Sus scrofa: one gene and its partner. The protein of the gene in region 1 purifies or fractionates together with the protein of each later gene. This does not show direct contact. Links are inferred from orthologs where the notes say so. Each region holds a gene or a part of one and is shown in the gene's direction. Other genes may lie near its edges. The genes, in order: EPN1 and PHGDH.

Region 1 (9,474 bases):
GTGCGTGCGCGTGAGGGGGTGTGTGTGTGTGTGTGAGTGTGCGCTGCACTGCTGTGTGTGTGTGCGCGCTGCTGTGTGTGTGTGCGCGTGCGTGGTTGCGCACTGCCGTGTCCCAGACCAGGACTCGCCTCTGTGTTGAAGCGACGTTGACTCCCAGCCCGGCTGTCGTGGGGTCTTGCGTAGGGAGTAGGGAGAGAAGTGCTGGACGTGGCCCCACAGACAGCAGCAGACCGTCTTGTCTTCCCGACAGGTTCTCGTTCTCTGTCGAGCTCACCCGTGCTGACCCTGAGCTCTCCCAGCAGCTCCCTGAGGCCTTCTTCCCAGTTAGCTCTCTGACTGCGGGGCCTGAGTCGGAGCCCCCTGAGGGACGTTGCCTCTGGCACCCTGCCAGGTTCAGCTGCTCCCACTACCCGCGGGTGGCCAGGAGTGGGCGGGGCTTGTCTTCACCCAGCTGCTCTGCTGGGGCAGCTGCATGCTGCCTGGGATGCCGTGCACGCCTGAGGCAGTAGCTGGTCAGGGGGCCCAGGACTGTAGTGGGATAGGGTTGATGTGGCGAAGCCCCGAGTGCCGGATGCCCAGTTATCCAAGCAGGTGGCTGGGGTGCTGGGCACGAGGCGGCGAGGAGGCCGGGGTAGCCGGAGGGCAGTAAGCAGAGGGCAGCGGGGTCCGTCGTGGCTGACCTTGTAGGGCCACACGGGTCCTAGTGAGAGTGTTCGGTGTCCTTTTGAGTGAGAAGGGAAGGGGTCATTGTGAAGTCTTCAATGGGGGGGAATGCTTGGCACGTAGAGGTGGTTCCTTGTAAGGTGGGGGTGGGCAGGGGTGCGCAGCCAGTGGTTAGCCTAGCCCTGCAGAGCTGGCACCTGCTGGCTGGGGATTGGAGGGGCCGAGGGACAATCTTTGGAGCTTTGGGAACTGACAGCTTGTGGTCACTTGGGTGAAAGCTGGTTCCCTGATTTAGAGCAGTGGCAGGGGATGCAAAGAAGTCCGTGGCCTCTAGATGCCCAGACCGTGGGAGCTGACTTGGGTGTGTCGGGAGTGGTGAGGAGTCAGGTGAGAGGCAGGGGAGATGAGCAGGTTGAAGAGAGGGGAACAGTGTCAGTCCTGGGGGGGGCTGGCTTTGAGGTCCTGAGACACCCCAGCAAAGATGTGGGGGATGGCTGGACAGAGCTCCTTCCAAGTGTGAGGTCAGATGGACACACTGGTCCCCAGTGTTCAGGTGGTGGTCTGGATATGCTTGCCCGGGGAACAGCGGGGGACAGCATCACCTCTGGGGGGCAGGGGCCAGAGGAGGAGGGCAGGCAGCATTTATTTTCACCTGCTCTCCTGTTCCCTCCTCACCATGCCCTGGAGACACTAGGTCCCTACTGGCTAGTTTCATCGTTGCACCGGAATGGAGGAGCCTGGCTTGCTGGGGTGCTGGGAAAAACTAGGAAGCACCCTGCCAGGTCTCTGGGATCAGCGTACCTGTTTGTCTGTAAACTTCATCATTTTCAAGCACGCAGGAAGGGGAGAGAGGGAGGAGCCGCCATAGCGATGGAATAATGTTACAGCATAGTGTTCGTCCTATCGCGGTGTATATAGTGCTGGTACACATGCTTCACTGCCCAGTTCAAGTTACCTTGTCTTCATTAATTTCCATGATCAGGCCCCCATTTTTACTGAAACACAGAATATTTCACATTTCACATATCATGTTTCCCCCAAGATTCTTCTTTTTTATTTTTTTTGTCTTTTTGTCTTTAGGGCCACACCTGTGACATAAGGAGGTTCCCAGGCTACGGGTTCATTTGGAGCTGTAGCCACCGGCCTACCCAGAGCCACAGCAACACGGGATCTAAGCCATGTCTGTGACCTACACCACAGCTCATGGCAATGCTGATCCTTAACCCACTGAGCGAGGCCAGGGCTCGAGCCTGAGTCCTCATGGGTGCCAGTCAGATTCGTTAACTGATGAGCCACAGCAGAAACTCTTCCCCCAAGAGTCTTAAGCGCGCTTCTCTATCTCAGCTACTGATAATTGGTGGCCTGGTAACTCTTGCCTTTGGGTCTGTGCTGTTTGCTGTAGGATGTTTAGCCTCATCCGCAGCCTCCACCCACTAGGTGCCAGGAGTACTGTGTGTGCCTTTGTGACTGTGAAAAACATCTCCAGACATTGGCAAATGTCCCTTGGGGACACATTTCACTTGGTTGAGAATTACTGCTGTGAACAGTTGACTTAAAAAAAATGTTACTTTAATGAAGCCACGCTATACCTACCATCAGTACATTAACTAGAGAACCATTAGGATCCGCCTCCCCAAGCCACGTTCACATTTCTCACCGTTTTGGAACGTCCTCATGGTTGAGGGAAATAAGGAACCCGAGGGACCCCTGCCATTTGGTTTCAGACTTTCTTAATCAGTTCTTTACACCTCCCCCCCCTGCCCAAGCTCTTTTGCTTGTTGAGGCAATAGGGACATTTGTCTTACAGGATTCCCCAGGCTCTCAGTTAGGCTGCTTTTACCTCCTCTCTCTACACTTCCGTAAACTGGTGGCTCAGGCAAGATGAGAAGCCTGAGGAGATCAAGGTTTCAGGTTTTGTCTTTCCAGTCAACCTGGGTTTGGATAGAAATTTCCAAGTTTTCCTCACTTCATCCCTTGTCCAGGGGAGACATCCATGTCCTTGGGTGGTGGAGGGACCCCCCCCCCCCCCCCCCCGAGCATGGTGCCTGATGCAGGGGAGACACTCAACACAAGTGGCCTCTCTCTGAGTTTACGCCTGGCCTCTGTTCTGTGGGGCTCTTGACTCCAGCTGCCTTTGCAGGTCTTTCCTCTGTTTCATTCTTTGATCCTGGGGTGCTGGAGGAGGTTTGGATAAATGTCCCCACACCGGCAGTGAGCCCCCTCTCGCTGCCTGGGAGTTCTGAGTTGGGGGTAGATGCTGGCTGGTTGCTGTGAGGGAGCCAGCTCATCCTCGAAGGCAGAGGCTGGTTGGTCTTCACACCTTGGCTCTTGTTCCCGCAGATCTTCGTGGAGTTCACCTCTGTGTTTGACTGCCAGAAAGCCATGCAGGGCCTGACGGGTCGCAAGTTCGCCAACAGAGTGGTTGTCACAAAGTACTGTGACCCCGACTCTTACCACCGCCGGGACTTCTGGTAGAGGCGGCGGGGGAGGGCAGGGGCAGGGCTGGCTGGGGGCTTCTCCCCCTCCCGCTCCCCCTCTTTTCCCCCTCTGAAGACCATGGGCAGAGGAGTGACAGCCGAATGACAGAATGACAGCCTGACAGCCGGCAGCAACTGGAATGGCAGCAATTAAGGGTGGGGGGTGGGGTGGGGCTTGGGGCGGGGAGGGACGGGGGAGTGCTCACACAGGCCCACACAGATACACACACAGAGGGAAGGGGGGGGCGGGGTGCGCAACAGGGCTGGGTCGGATCCCCACGGCCCCTCTCCGAAACAGTCTTTCCTCCCTTACACTCCCTTTCTCTTCCTCCTCCCACCGTAGAAACGTAGCGTGTTTATATTTTATGGCCAAACTATTTTGAATTTTGTTGTCCGGCCCCAGTTACGCTGCCCTCTCCCCTTTCAGGACCACAGCTCCCGTCCTCTTGGCCTCTGGTCCTCTCCGCGGTGTTGTCCTTGGTTTCTTATGTAGCTGATTCTTTCCACTTTAGTTTCTCCAGACCTGCCCCCCAGCCCCGTCACCCCGTCCCTCTCCTACTCTCTGTGGCAGTTTCATATTTGCTAAGACGAATTTGCTCATTAAACATTTTGTTGTATTTTACTTTATGGAGCTGCTCTTTGTCTGGTGTATGTAACCCCCACCCTTCCATTTCTCGGGGTTCCTTTGGCCTAGGCTGAGGCGTCGGTCCCGGAGGCCCGGCAGTCCTCAGCGTCACCCCGGCCACGACGCCCCGGCGCCCTTGGCACGCTGCAGGTGGCACACCCCGCCTGCGTGGCCTGCTGGTCCAGGAGGACGGTGTAGGGCGTGGCCCTGGAGAGGAGGGTGCCGAGCCCGCCTGAGGTGGCGGGTGGCGGCGGCGGGAGCCGTCTGGGCTCGTGGGCCCGGAGCTCAGGTCGCCCCGAGGGTCCGGCACTGGCGTGCGGGGGCGGTCTGGGGACAGCGCGGCTTCCCGGTTCGGTCGAGCGCGCCCGGCGGCCCCGCGCTGCGCCCCGCCCCTTTCTGTGCGTTCCCGGGGTCTGGAGGCTGCGGCGGCAACCGGGCGAGTGGCGCCTGACGACGAGGTCAGCGCGCCGGAAGTGACGCCGCGCGGCCAGGTGGGGGCTGGGGGCTGGAGTCTGCGCAGGCTTGCCGCCGCAGAGGGGCGACCGGGCGGGTCGAGCAGCCACTTCCGCTTCCGGTCCATCGCCTTCGGTTGCTTCCCGTCTGTTCGGTGGCTCCCCTCCCCCGCCCGGCTCTCCGCGCCCTTCCCGGGCGGCGGGGCGGCGGGGCCGTCGGTGTGCGGTCTTCCGTGTGTCCGCGCGTGCGTCCAAGCGCGGCTCCGCATCCACCGCCCGCGGCCCGGCGCGCGCCCAGCGACACCGAGGCCGAGCGGGGGCTGGCTGGGGGGCTGCCCGCCATGACCCCCCGGAGCGCGGCTTGAGGGGGCCCAGGTGAGTGCGGGCGGCGGGCGGCGGGCGGGCGCGCTCAGGCGTCTCCACGGTCTTTGTGTGTCTGCGCTGGGCCGGCCTTGGACCGCCCGCGGCTCCGACTCTCCCGCGTCTCTGTCCGCGCCTGGGCCTCCCGCGGGCCTCCGCCTGGGCCTCGCTGCCGCTCGGGTCCGTTTCGGTGCTTTTACACGGCGCTGTCCTTGCTTGTCCGTGTCGGGTCTGGTTCTGCGTTTCTGTCGCATTTCAGCGTGTGATGGGCAGGATTAGTGTCCGTGTCTAGGCTCCGCAGCTGTCTCCGCTCTGTCTCTGTGCATCTCCCCCGGCCCGCCGTCTTCCCCTATTACTTCTGTCCTGGTACTCTTGTCCTCCAACCCCGACTCCCTCTCCGGGGGGTCTGTCGCTTGGCCTAGGATAACCCCTTCCCCTGGGTTCTTGAGTTCCGAGTGATGAAGAACCCGGCTGTGGAATCAGAGGCCCATTTTTTGTAAGTCTGTAATGTTTGTCTGGTAATTCATCTCCAGGCCACAGTTTCCCAGTCTTTAAAGTTAGGGTATTCAGAGTTCCTACATAATAGGGCTGCTGTGATCATTCACCAAGGCAAAGTGCCCAGCCCTTGTGCATAGTAAGTGTGTGGTGAACTGCTGGGAGCTCTGGGTTCCGTTATTATTACTTACAGATTTTCTCTTGCATACACTTAACGTGGGTCATTGGAGCACCCCTTGGAGAATTTTGCGGTATCGCTTGTCTTGTATTTAGTTTAATAATTATTTTTGGGTCAGCTCATTTTGGAAAAACCTGTTTTCCTCCTACATAGTATCTGTGGAGTCTTAGGTTTGCCCTGTCAGTTGAATGTTGCTTCAGTACACTTGTATAAATACACGATGTTAAGATACCACATTTTTTGATGCCTCCCTTTTGGAAATACTGTTTTTTTTTTTTTTCCCCTATTAAAACAGCAGCCAACATTATTGAGCTCCTGTTATCTGTGGGGCGCAGTGCCAAGCACTTTATGTACCCATTGTATTTAATCAACAAGCCTGCCAGGTAGAAATCCTTTCCTTCATTTAAGAGTTGAGCAAACTGAATCTCCAGAGGGCCAGGATTTCATGTTCTTTCCTTTCGCTCCCATTTTCCTTGTCTCCTTTTTCGCAGTCCCAGCTTACTGCCTCTTTTATCTTCAGGGCCTCTGTCCTTGCTCTTTGCCTGCCTACCCCGCTGTCTCCCCATGTTCCTTTATCTGTTTTCCTGTGTCTTTTGTCTGCCCAGGCTTCTCCGTGCCTCTTTCTCCACCTTCATGCCCTGTCCTCTTGGTCTCCTGTTCTGTTGGTCACATCAGCTCTTGTTGCCAGTGTGTCCGGCTGGGCCTGTCTTAGCATCCAGGCTGTTGCTTTTCAGCTGTTCACATCTGTCTCCAAGTGCCTGGCTCTCCTGCGGTCAAGGCAGGGGCCAGCTGCCTCCCCTGGGACTCCGGTTGGGGGAGGTCTCCGTCTTGGGCTAGCATGTTGGGCGAGTCCGTGGATGGTGTGTGTGCCCAGAGCCTGCTGGGATCGAGGCCCGTGAAGCAGGGTGAGGGGCGGACCACCGTCTGCCTCGTTTCCTCCCCTGTGAGGTGTGGGGCGGAGTTACGTCTCCAGGTGTGAGGCACTGAGAGGCACACCTGGCGCAGGCAAAGGGCTGTGATGACCTCACTCGCCTGACCCCTCCTTTGCCTTCTGTTTGTTTCCCATCGCCTTCCTCTCAGCACAGGTTAACTTAGACGTGTGTTTGGGAGCCACGCCGGCCTGGAGTTGAGTGTGCACTGCCAGGCCTAGCGTGTGACCTTGGTTGGGTCATTTAACCTCCAGAGCCCCATCGCCTCCTCTGTTCGAACCCTACCCGCCTGCTGTGTTTAATGAGATAATGCACGTCTTGTGCTCTTGCTCCCTGACCGCCTGGCACCAAGAGGGCGCCCGGCCCGTGGGCTGTGCTGTCCTTATCTCTCCTGCCCTGAGCCTTCCCACCCGTGGGACCCCCCGTCCCTCTGGCATTCCCTCCCATCCGTCTCTGCTCCCCTTGTCGGCCTCCCCCCGCTCTGTGTGTCCTTGTTTCTACAGTGGGTTCTGCCCCCCAGGCCCTGCTCCAGAGGTCTTTCCTGTCCTGCCTCCTTCTCTTCCTTCCTGTGCTGTTTATTGAGTGGCTCTTCCGGGCCAGCTCCTCTAATGGGAAAAGCCGTGTCCACAGCCCCACAGGGGCTCTTGGCGCGGCTTCAGCCACACAATGAAACGGTAGGAAAATCATGAGGAAGGAGTTCCTGCTGTGGTGCAGTGGAGTAAGAACCTGACTGTAGCGGCTTGGGTTCCTGCGGAGGCGTGAGTTCCATCCCCCGCCCGGTTCAGTGGGTGAAAGGATGTGGTGTAGGTCTCAGCTGTGGCTTGGATTCAGTCCCTGGCAGGGAACTTCCACATGCAGAGGGTGTAGCCACTTAAAAAAAAGAAAAAGGGAAGGAAAAGCACAGGGCGACTGAATCTGCTGTCAGGGTGGCCCTGGGAACGACAGCTGCGGTGTTGGGGTGGGTCAGGCCTGGGAGGTTTCAGCGGAGTCCTGTGGGTGAGTGGGGGGGCGAGTCCCCCGTGAGAGGGGGAGGAAGAGCGTGGGGACTGCCTCCTGACAGCACCCCCCCCCCCCGCCACCCCTCGGATCGCCGGCTTTTCTTCAGTTCTCTGGTTACGGAACGCAGCCCCATTTCCCAGAGGAGAAAACCGAGGTGCAGGAGTTGCTGGGCTGGGAGGTGGCGAGCCCCCTTGGGCCTGCGGTCAGCCCCTGCGTACTCCGCCTGGCTCCGCGGGGCCTCAGGCCGGAAGGAGCCGGGCTCCTTCCAGGAGCTGAGGGATGCCTGGGGGCCTCGGGCGGAGGTCAGCAGGGCTGGAGACAGGACCTCGGCCTCCGCCCCGCACGCGCTGGGCTCCGGCCGGGTGGCCATGGGTCCTCTCCTCTCCACAGATGTGGTGACCTGCCGTCACTGTCGTGGCCTCCCCCCCCAGCTGCCCCGTCGCTGCTCGCCCGGGGGCCGCCCCCTTCCGCGCCGCCCGCCACCATGTCGACCTCGTCGCTGCGGCGCCAGATGAAAAACATCGTCCACAACTACTCGGAGGCTGAGATCAAGGTGCGCGAGGCCACGAGCAACGACCCCTGGGGCCCGTCCAGCTCCCTCATGTCCGAGATCGCCGACCTCACCTACAACGTGGTGGCCTTCTCGGAGATAATGAGCATGATCTGGAAGCGGCTCAACGACCACGGCAAGAACTGGCGGCACGTGTACAAGGTCAGTGCCTGGCCCGCCGCCGCCGCCGCCACTGCCGCAGACCCCTCCGGGTGGGCGCAGAACTGGGGGGCGCGGACCTCCCCCTTCCTGGTGGCTCAGAGGGGCTGGGGTTCTGCATCTTCGCGTAAAATCTCTGTCTTGTCCCGTGACGGTGACGGACGTAACGTTTTAGGGATTTTGAGCCTTGGGGTGTTCGGAGAAATGGCATGTTCACAGGATTGAGCCCTTAGAAGGCCCCACCCGTCTGGGTTTGGAGCTCAGTTCCTCCCCCAGGGGCAGCCCGTGTCCCCCGCTTCTGCCCTCTGCGGTGATGTGTGTGTGGCTCCGGGCAGATGGGCAGCGCCGGGACTCTTGGGGATCCGTGGGGTGGCTCTGTGTCTTCACTGCCTCAGTGGCTCTTCGGTCACGTGAGTTACCAGAGCTTAAGACCGTACATGAGAAAGAGTGTGTTTTACTCTGTGTAAGTTATGCTGCAGTTTTAAAAAAGGAAAAGCATTTTAGGGATCATTCTCTGTTAGGGCAACAAAAGTCTGTTCCTTTTTTTTTTTTCCAATTTCGTTCCTGTCCACCGTATGGACTGGTCGTGATTGATGTGACCAGCTGCCTTGTGATGGATTGTAAGTGGCTTGCAGTGTTTTGCTCTTACAAAGCAGACGGCCGCAAATACCTGTGTGTGTTTGCAGTTTTCCAGAGTGAGTGTGCGTGTGTCAGTGGGCGCTTCAGCCTGTTTACCAAAATGGCACAGTGGACAGGTGGACCGACAGGCCACAGGTTTTGGGTACAGGGAACTTGGTTGCAGGCGGCACTCAGTGGCTGAGTTTCCTGTCTGACTGCTGCCCTGGAGACCTGGGGCCTGGTGTCCCAAGGTTGAGTCAAGAAGGGGCCGAGGTCACGGGCTGAGGGCCAGGCCCCCCTCCCAGCAATGCGGCCTCAGGCCGGTCCAGGGTCTCTGTGTGTGCATCCAGCTCCTGGGGCCCAGGCTGGCGAGCGAGGCCCAGAAGTGTGGGTGAGTCCTTTTGTCACCTGCTCTGTGTGTGGCGGTGGACAAGACAGGTTAGGCTCCCGGTCTCAGGGACCAGACTGGTGCCTGTGCCGGACTCTCTGTCTCTCTAGGCGAGGAGGCTGAGGCCAAGGGCAGATGGCAGCTGCCTTTGGAGCTGGGGGTTGAGCCTCCTGGCCCTGGCTCCTCTCTAGGCCCTCCCTGCAAAGCGGGCTTGGGCGGGTGATTTGAGTCAGTTGTGAGGCAGTGGGCAGGGCAGCGGGGAAGCTGGGAAGCCTTGGTGTGGAGGGGCGCGGCGGGGAGGGGCCTGAGGGCTTGAAAGAGGGGGAGAAGCTTGGTGGGGTGGGGGGACTGGTGGGTGAGGGGAGGTGAGTCCTGAGGGCGCTGGTGGCTGGGGAAGCCTGCAGTGGGCAGAGCAGTGGGCAAAGCTCAGTGGAAGTACTTTTTCTGAGTGAGGAAACTGAGGCACAGAGACTGGGGGGCCTGGAGGGGAGCCCCTGAGCCCACCCGTTAACTCTGGGCTGTGTCACCTGACTTCTCTGGGGATGGCAGGGCCTCGGTCTTGGCAAAGTACGGCCCTCGGG
Region 2 (8,736 bases), on another chromosome or scaffold:
GCTAGGGGTCTAATTGGAGCTGTAGCCACTGGCCTTCCCCAGAGCCATAGCAATGCGGGATCCAAGCTGAGTCTGCAACCTACACCACAGCTCACAGCAACACCAGATCCTTAACCCACTGAGCAAGGCCAGGGTTCGAACACCCAAGCTCTTGGTTCCTAGTCAGATTCGTTAACCACTGAGCCATGACGGGAACTCCCACTAGGCGGTTTCTTAACCCGTCTCCTCCCTCACTTCTTCCTCACTCTGTTGAAGTGGGCAGTGAGGCCTGTTTTTAAGGCCTGGGGGGCCTCTAGCTGCAGCTGGCTTCTCCCCTCCTTGTTCTTGCCCCCTCCGACTGCGTCACTGCTCCCCATGGGATCGCCCTCCCTCACGTGGGCTCCCTGCTTTCCAAGGGCTTCTGAGCTCCACAGGTCCAACCACACACCACCTCCCCATGCACCTGTTTGTGGTTCAGAACTTGGAGGTGGACAGACCCGCCTTTGCACTCTGGCCCTCCCCCTCCGTGTGTCAGCCCCACTCCCTTCAGCTCTAAAGTAGAAAGAATAGTGCAACTCACTTGTGTGGTCATGAGAGGTAAACTGGTGTTGGGGAAGACTTAGCAGTAGTGGAGTTCCTGTGGTGTCTCAGTGGGTTAAGAGCCCAACCAGTATCCATGAGGATGTAGGTTCGATCCCTGGCTTTGCTCACTGGATTAAGGAGCCAGCTTTTCCACAATCTTTGGTGCAGGTTGCAGATGTGACTCAGATATGGCATTGCTGTGGCTGTAGTGTAGGCCAACAGCTGCAGCTCTGATTCAACCCCTAGCCTGGAAACTTCCATATGCCGCCCGTGTGGCCCTGAAAAGAAAGAAAAAATAATGGTAGTGCTTGGTATATGGTCCATGGGCCATAAACGGAGGCCGTGATGAATAATACCAGTACTAATAATTAATAATGACACTTCCTCCCTCTCTCACTTCCCCAGACTATAGGGTATGATCCTATCATTGCTCCAGAGGTCTCGGCCTCCTTTGGTGTGCAGCAGCTGCCCCTGGAGGAGATCTGGCCCCTCTGTGATTTTATCACCGTGCATACACCTCTCCTGCCTTCCACCACAGGTAGGTGTGTCCCTGCCTTGGGGGGTGGCCACAGAAGCCACAGACCAGATAAGGGTGGGTCCCCATCCTAGGCCTCCTGTCTACACTGATGGGGGGGTGGGGGCATCCGGGTCCCAGGAGCATGGAGTGTGGTTGATGCTTCGTTGCACAGCCCTGCTTCAGACTGAGGAGGGGTGAGCTAGCTGGGGAAATGCAGGTGGTGTGGGTGAGCTGAGTGGACACACAGGACCAGTGACCCCACCTGGGGCTCCTCCAGGCCTTTCTGGTTTAAAGACCCACTTGGAAGACGCACTGATATCTCAAGGATGTCTGGGATGTTTTTAAACTGAGTCTGGTCCAAATCCAGAAGAGAATCTCCTGCCCCAGAGCACCTGAGAAGGGAGCAGTGAGACCAGAGAAGCTGGGTCCTGCAGGAAGGAGGCATGTGGGGAAGAGCTGGTGCGGGGGAGGGAGGGGCTGCGGGGTGGAGCGCAGGCGCCTTGCGATGGATCTGAACTCTCCAGGCACCTCGGTCGCAAGAAGTCTCCTTCCTCCCTCCAGGCCTGCTGAACGACAGCACCTTTGCCCTTTGCAAGAAGGGGGTGCGCGTGGTGAACTGTGCTCGCGGAGGGATCGTGGACGAAGGCGCCCTGCTCCGGGCCCTGCAGTCGGGTCAATGCGCTGGAGCCGCGCTCGACGTGTTCACGGAGGTGAGTGGCCGGCCTGGTTCTGGGGCTGGAGCGGAGCAGGGCGCGCTCCCACATGGGGAGCCCAGCTGTGCAGAGGGCTCAGCTTGGGCCTACTGTCTCTAGTGGGAGAAGTTGTGACGCCAAAAATAACACGTTTGTGGTTTGAGGAGCCCTGGCAGAGCTGGGGACAGAGGCGGCCGTGCTGTCTTCTGAGATAGATTTTCAGAGGGACCTGTTCCTGATCTCATGCTAACTTTGGGGGCAGACAGAGCTGCAGATCAGGGGGAGGACTGGGGGCAGGGACAGAAGGGTGTAAGGAACTGTCTCATACCCACTGCCCGCATCCTGCCCTCACCGCCGCCGGAATGATGATGAGTGCATTTCCTGTTCACCCCTCTTAAAAATCCCATCCCTGGCATCAGACATCCAGGGGACAGAGCGTGGGCTTTGTGCTCAGTGGAGGGGCTCTGTGGCCTTGGCAAGTCCTGACCCTCTGAGCCCCTGTAGCACTCAGCGTCTGTTCCCTGCCCTGGGCACACTGTGCATTGGGCTTGTGGTCCTGATCATCTTTCTCAGCGTCTGGAAGCCGGGGTACACCTGACCTTGTTGGTGTTGCCGTCTCCCTAATGCATGCCCTTCTCCCTGCTCTCTTTGGCCTCCTCGTGGCCCTTATGCTCTGTGGCCGGCGCTCTGAGACCTGCGTGGCCAGAATCCACTGGGAACCGGTAGGGTCTTGGGAAGAATGACCAGAAGAGAGGGGGCTTAAGCGACATTTCCACGGGTCCTACATTGTGCCCAGTGAGCAGAAGGCTGGAAGGGGCCCTGGAGGATGGGGAAGAGGTGCCCAGGTGGGCCCCCTGTCATGTCTGTAGCAGCCCACCCAGAGGAGTCTCTTTCTGGGCAGGAACCACCCCGGGACCGGGCCTTGGTGGACCACGAGAAGGTCATCAGCTGCCCCCACCTGGGCGCCAGCACCAGGGAGGCCCAGAGCCGCTGCGGGGAGGAAATCGCCATCCAGTTCGTGGACATGGTGAAGGGGAGGTCCCTGGCCGGCGTTGTAAGTGTGCCATGGGGGGCTGGGCCCAGATGGCGGGGGAGCAGCCGGAGGAGGGCGTGCTGCTGGTGGCAGTGGGGCTGAGCAGTGACCGGATGCAGTGCTGGGAGCTGGAGAGGAGGGACCCGCGTGAGCCGGCGCTCCGGGTGGGGCGGCAGGAGCTGCCCATGCTTGGCCTTGACAGCAGAGGCCGGCAGTGGGGAGCCAGCTCGGCCTGTTACAGTGCGGCCTTGCTGCTGAGATGGTGGCTTGTCCCAGGGCCCTGCCTCCAGAGAAAGGCTCCTTTGTTCTCCATAGGCCCTGGGAGTGAAGGAGGGTGGCTGGCGTGATGGCCGGATGCCTGAGGTGGGGGCGGCTGGGGGACGCCTGTGGAGAGGGCCCTGGTAGGGCGTTCTCACCTCGTGACCCGGAGCATGCGCCTGGCATCTCGTCCCTCTTAGACCCCGGGCCGGGACACGTCCTGCCCCACAGCCTGCATCTCCCCCTCCCCCCAAAGGACCCCTCCACGCCAGCGGGCCCCCTTCCTTTCCCCTAATCATGGCTTCTTGACTGTGCTCACAGCGGGCCCTTCCTGGCATGTGTTTCACCTTCACGCTGAACTTGACCTAGACTTCATTCCTGTTTCATTCGTTCGGTCTTCAGATGGTCCCTAAGCTCCTGGGGGTACCAGATACCGTCATCGCCCTGTGGGGACCTGGCGATGAATAAGGAAGGCACGACTCTGGTTTCAGGGCTCTCCCCAACCCCTCCGTGGAGACACGTTTGGCCTTTCTGGCTCCAGCCCAACCCTTGTGCAATGAGCCACGTTCTCTCTCGTTAGTAACATGTATGAGTTTGTATCTTCGTCCTTAATTAAATTCTCAGTTCTCGAAGGGCAAAAACCAAACCAAAACCAAAACAAACCCAAACCCCAAGCCAGGAGGTAAGCTTCTCTGCAGCTCGTGGGGCACTGCCCGTAGCATTTAACCAATAATGAACGAGGGTGGGAGCGGGGCCAGGGGGTGGTCCCTGACCCCTCTGGCCGACTCTCACTCAGCGCAGGGATTTTCACTTCTGAGGACAGAACTGAGACACAGGATGCTTTGTTCAACGCTGCCGGCGCTGAGTGGAGAGCCTGGCTCCCCAGGCAGTCCTGGCCTCTGCCTCTCGAGAAAGGGGCCCACCGCTGCCCTGCCGCGGGCTCTTCAAGAGCCTGGTGACAGCTCGGCGGTCGACAAAGCCATGTGGTCCATCAGTGTCTGCGCCCTCCTCTCTCTGTGTGTGTCTGTGGGCTCCTCAGAGGAGGGCACAGCTTCTCGCTCCCTTTCCACCCCATGGGCTCCTGAGTGGCTCATTCCTCCCCTGGGGAGGCTGAGGGGTACCCAGGTGAGCTTGAGGTCGTGACCCTTGTGACCCTTGCCACCCAGTCTGGGCTGGCCTCATCCCTTTCCTGTCCACTCTCAAGGCAGTTTGCAGGCCTCAGCACTGCAGCCCTTGTGAGTCATTCCCGTTGTCATTGGGGAGCGGTGGCATTCCAGGCCTTTTCCTGAAGGGGACTCCTTAACACCAGCCCCATCAAGGGGACCCACAAAATGGTCCCCTCTTACATAAGAGGTCAAATCTCGTGGTCAAATAGTCAAACTTTGGGAGATCCTCTTGTGGCTCAGTGGGCTAAGAACCCGACATAGTGTCCTGAGGATACAGGTTTGATCCCTGGCCTCACTCAGTGGGTTCAGGATCTGGCATTGCCATGAGCTGTGGTGTAGGTCGCAGATGTGGCTTGGATCCCGCCTTCGTGTAGGCTGGCAGCTGCAGCTCAGATTCAGACCCTGACCTGGGAACTTCTGTATGCTACAGGTGCAGCCCTAAAAGGAAAACAAAGAAAAAAGGAGTTAAGGTTTAGACAAATTGAATGCTCCGACCACAGCGCCTGGTGGGGTAGAGTAGGCATTCGGAAAGAAAGACGCTTTGTCACCTAGGAACCCTCTCTGTCCCTTGTTCTGTACTGGGTCCTCTCTAAGAGAGCTCACATCTTCTCTAAGCACAGGCACAGACGAGCCTTAGGGTCAGGTTGATGCCCAAAGGCACTGGCTCTTCCCGGAGCCTCTTGCTCATCCTCTGGAGGCCACGGAACGCGCCTGTTACTTGGCCAGCCTGTGATGCGCATGGCCTGGCCCGCACGGGGGCAGAACCAGGCGTAGTGCCGCCTTGGTGGCTTCTCAGTCCAGTGCTTTTCCTCTGGCTGCTGTAGGCGCTCGCCCCCAGCTGTCGCCTGGCGCTGCAGCCCTGGGCTCCTTCCTTCCTCTGGTCCTCGGAGAGGCCAGAGGGGAGCTTGGCCACAGGGAGCTCTCCCACCAGGCCACCCCTCACACCCAAAGGTGCCCTGGGGAGTCCTGCCTCCTCGGTCGTTTCCATGATTGTCACGACTCTCTCTTCTCTAATTTTCTGCCCGTTGTGTCTTTACGAAAACAGGAGTAGAAGTGGCCTTTGCATTACATCTAATAAGTGCCTGATTGATTTGCGGCCATCCCCAGGTTTCTGATTAATTCCTTCTTAGATGGGTCTCTTTGTAAGTCACCTCCGTCAGAGTGGCCGCTTCACTCAGAGCCACAACATCTCGAGCCACGAGATGGAAGAGACGTTTTGATCCAGGATGAGCTGGCTTTGTTTTCAAGCCCCAGTGGGGGGTCTAGCCAGCCAGACCTTGGATTTATCACATTAGAGGATGGTGTGGCTTCTGCCTCCGTCCACCTGCCCAGCACGCCTGGGGTAGAGAAGTTCACCGGAATCACCATTTGAAGACTGATAGCATATCAGAAGTGTAGGAACCCAGGCTTTTAAATTGTGATATTTGGATAGAACGTTTTGTGACAAGGTAAAAACATCTTTTTTTTTTTTTTTTTTTTTTGGCTGCCCCTCCTCTCCCCGCCCCCATGGCATGTGGAAGTTCCAGGGCCAGGGATTGGCCCATCATCCCTACGACAGGGACAATGCTGAATTCCCTAGCCCACTGAGCCCAGGGAACATCTAAAAACACATTTAAAAAAAGTCAAGAGAGAGGAGCTCCCGTGGTGGCACAATGGGATCACTGGCGTTTCTGCAGCACCAGAACACAGGTTCGGTCCCTGGCCTGGCATAGTGGGTCAAAGGAGCGTGGCTAGAGCCACGGCCTAGGTTGCACCAACGGCTCACATCTGATCCCTGGCCTGGGAACTCCACATGCTGCCGGTGAAGCCAAAAAAGAACAAAAATGAATTAAAAAATCAAGATAGAAAATACAAATGAAGGCAAGTGAGCAGTGCCGTCTCAGAGGGACCCACCCCGCCATCCAAGGGATCTGTGACTCCCCATATGTTTTACGTCTCTGACATAAAATCTTCCTCCCTCTGCACAGAAAAACAAGTCCCTGGAGTGGGACAGAGGCTCAGAGAAGAGGGAGCGCCCCCCTGCACCCCCGCTGGCAATGCAAAGTGGGTCTTAGCCTGTGCCCTTTTCTGACCCTGTAGCTCTCCTCAGCTCTAGGAACAAGGTGTCGTCTTGGTGGCTTGATGGAGGTTGTCACCCCCCAGGTACCCAACGCAAGGGGGCCCCGTGCCTTCTGCTCTCCACATGGCGCTAAGTGTCCCCAGTGAGACCTCTCTGGGGGGCTGAGTCTGGCAGGTGTGCCCTGTTGGACCCCTTCCTGGCCTCAGCCCTGCTCCCCCTCTCTCTGCAGGTAAACGCCCAGGCTCTTACCAGTGCCTTCTCTCCACACACCAAGCCTTGGATTGGTCTGGCTGAAGCTCTGGGGGCACTGATGCAAGCCTGGGCTGGGTCCCCCAAAGGGACCATCCAGGTGGTAACACAGGGTGAGCCGGGGACTCTGCAGAGGGAGGGGGAGGGTCGTGGGCCCTGCACCCCACAGGGGTGTGTCTGCTGCAGGCCACAGACCAGCGAGGGACTCGGAGGTGACCGTGTTCACGGGACGCCACGTCTCATGTTCGGTCCGAGTGTGACTCGCTTGCTTCTGAGCGGGGCAGGAGGGGAGGGGCACAGAAAGCCATCGGGAAATATACCTGATTTTCATGCAGCTGTTTATGCAGCATTTTTAAGATGAGCAGGTTTGGGGTGCAAGAGGGACCTCCCCAAGATTCGGAGTTTCACATGAGAGGCAGGGGCATTTGTGAAGGGAGTTTGGGTGAAGCAACAGGACATTTTATTCTGCTGGTGACCTGGTTGCTCACCTGCTGTGCACCCTCCCTTCCGTGAGGCCCAGGCCCTTCTCCACTTGTGAATTGAAAGCCGGGGCGGGTATGTTAGGAGAGGCAGGTGGTGGGGACATTTTGTGCTCTGTGACATTCTAGGGTGGGCTTTCAGGCAAGCAGACATACGAGGGGGCACTGGCCCGGCGGGGGAGCGGGCATGAGGCTGTGTCTCCTGTCTGTGGGGCCACAGGCTCTGGCCGCCTTTGCAGTGGGTCTCCAGAGGCATGTCCTCCATTGGCTGTTGGGCATCTAGTCACTTGGGGAGAGGTTGGGTTTGAGGCAGGTTGACCTTGAGCTTTGCCAGTACTGGGCAGGGGCAGAACCAGGGGTCCCTGCTGGCTGGGTGTCCAGGCCCCAAGGGACGAGGTGGGGAAGTGGGCACGGGTGCTTTAGTCGCCCCTTTGTGCCTCCATTTCCTGAGGCTGCCAAGGTCCTGAGTGCCAGGTAGGGGTGAGTGTAGGACGTTCTTCAAGTGCCCCCTGGGGAATGACGGGCAGGCCAGGGGCAGTGGAGTTGGGCTGAGCTGTGGAGAGGAGTTTCTTAGACCAGTGAAGAGGGTCCCTGGTGACCTGGCCTGGACCCCAGCGCGTCCCGCTGGCTGGCTCTCTGCCCCCGAACAGAAAGCAGAACCTCCCAGCAGGCTGCTGGGCAGGGTGGGGGGGCAGGACAGTGCAGAGCCGTGACCCGGAGTGTGGCCCCTGTGGTCCCCTGCCTGCCCCTGTGCTGTTCAACACATAGCACCCTTACAGTGGCATCTCTCGGTCCCAGGAACGTCCCTGAAGAATTCTGGGACCTGCCTGAGCCCCGCTGTCATTGTCGGCCTCCTGAAGGAAGCTTCCCATCGGGCGGACGTGAACTTGGTGAACGCCAAGCTGCTGGAGAAAGAGGCTGGCCTCCATGTGCGCCCCCCCCACCCCCGTCTTCCTGGCCTTTTGAGAGCACCTTTCAGTTCTGCTCCTTGAGCGGGTGACAGTGTCGACCTGAGCGGTAGCGCCTGGTTCACCTGCAAAGTGGCAAGTGAATGGGAGGGGAAGCAGGACCTCCATTTCACAGCTGGGGAGCCAGGCTGGGAGCTGGCAGGTAGCTCAGCGTGCTCACCTCTGACCCCCCACCTGTGCCAGGGCACCTGCGAACCCTGGGAGCTCGCAGCGCATCCTCTGAGCCTCTGCTGCCCTTCGGGGCTTCCCTTTGACGTCCTCCCTTCTGGTTCCCTTTTTAGATCAAAGTCTGTGGTTCTGGGCAGTAGGGCTTTCTCCCCCCACCCCCGCTCCCCTGCATCCCCGTCAGGCCCCTGGTTCTGCACAGGAAGCAGCAGTAAGTCGGGGCCGGAGGGACCAGGCTGGATCGGCCTCGGGGACAGGCCAGCAGACCCCGGCCCTTCTCACAGCCCTGCCTCCCCCTCTTCCTCCCTCCTTCTCCCCACTTCCCACTCTCCCCTCCAGGCCATCTCACCTGTCCCTGGTAGATCTCTCTTTGCTCTCCCTTTAGAGAGGAAGCTCCTGGTTGGGGGCACAAGGCTTACCCATTCTCCCTCTGCCCCGGCCCCGAATTGCCGAGTGCCTTGGCCAGGCTGGACCCCCACAAGTTAGTGATTAGGCCAAAGAGGGGGTGGGCATAACTGCTTCCCTGCCTTCTCTCTGCAGGTAACCACCTCCCACAACCCTGCTGCTCCGGAGGAGCAGGGCGGTGCGG

The links.
Region 2: the proteins of EPN1 (region 1) and PHGDH purify together in Homo sapiens (affinity purification with mass spectrometry; 3 studies listed by BioGRID and IntAct, with this or other methods). This does not show direct contact. The link is inferred for Sus scrofa from reciprocal best matches to the Homo sapiens genes EPN1 and PHGDH.

What each region holds. Positions count from the first base shown.
Region 1 is NC_010448.4:59,785,637-59,795,110, forward strand, and holds the start of EPN1 (epsin-1), read left to right. Parts: upstream 1-4,486; 5' UTR 4,487-4,592; intron 4,593-7,568; 5' UTR 7,569-7,662; coding exon 7,663-7,890; intron 7,891-9,474. Other genes in the region: U2AF2 (splicing factor U2AF 65 kDa subunit), read left to right, coding at 3,004-3,138. UniProt on the Homo sapiens protein: Binds to membranes enriched in phosphatidylinositol 4,5-bisphosphate (PtdIns(4,5)P2). Modifies membrane curvature and facilitates the formation of clathrin-coated invaginations. Regulates receptor-mediated endocytosis.
Region 2 is NC_010446.5:101,447,531-101,456,266, reverse strand, and holds part of PHGDH (D-3-phosphoglycerate dehydrogenase), read left to right. Parts: intron 1-966; coding exon 967-1,099; intron 1,100-1,639; coding exon 1,640-1,788; intron 1,789-2,671; coding exon 2,672-2,824; intron 2,825-6,515; coding exon 6,516-6,648; intron 6,649-7,812; coding exon 7,813-7,943; intron 7,944-8,687; coding exon 8,688-8,736. UniProt on the Homo sapiens protein: Catalyzes the reversible oxidation of 3-phospho-D-glycerate to 3-phosphonooxypyruvate, the first step of the phosphorylated L-serine biosynthesis pathway.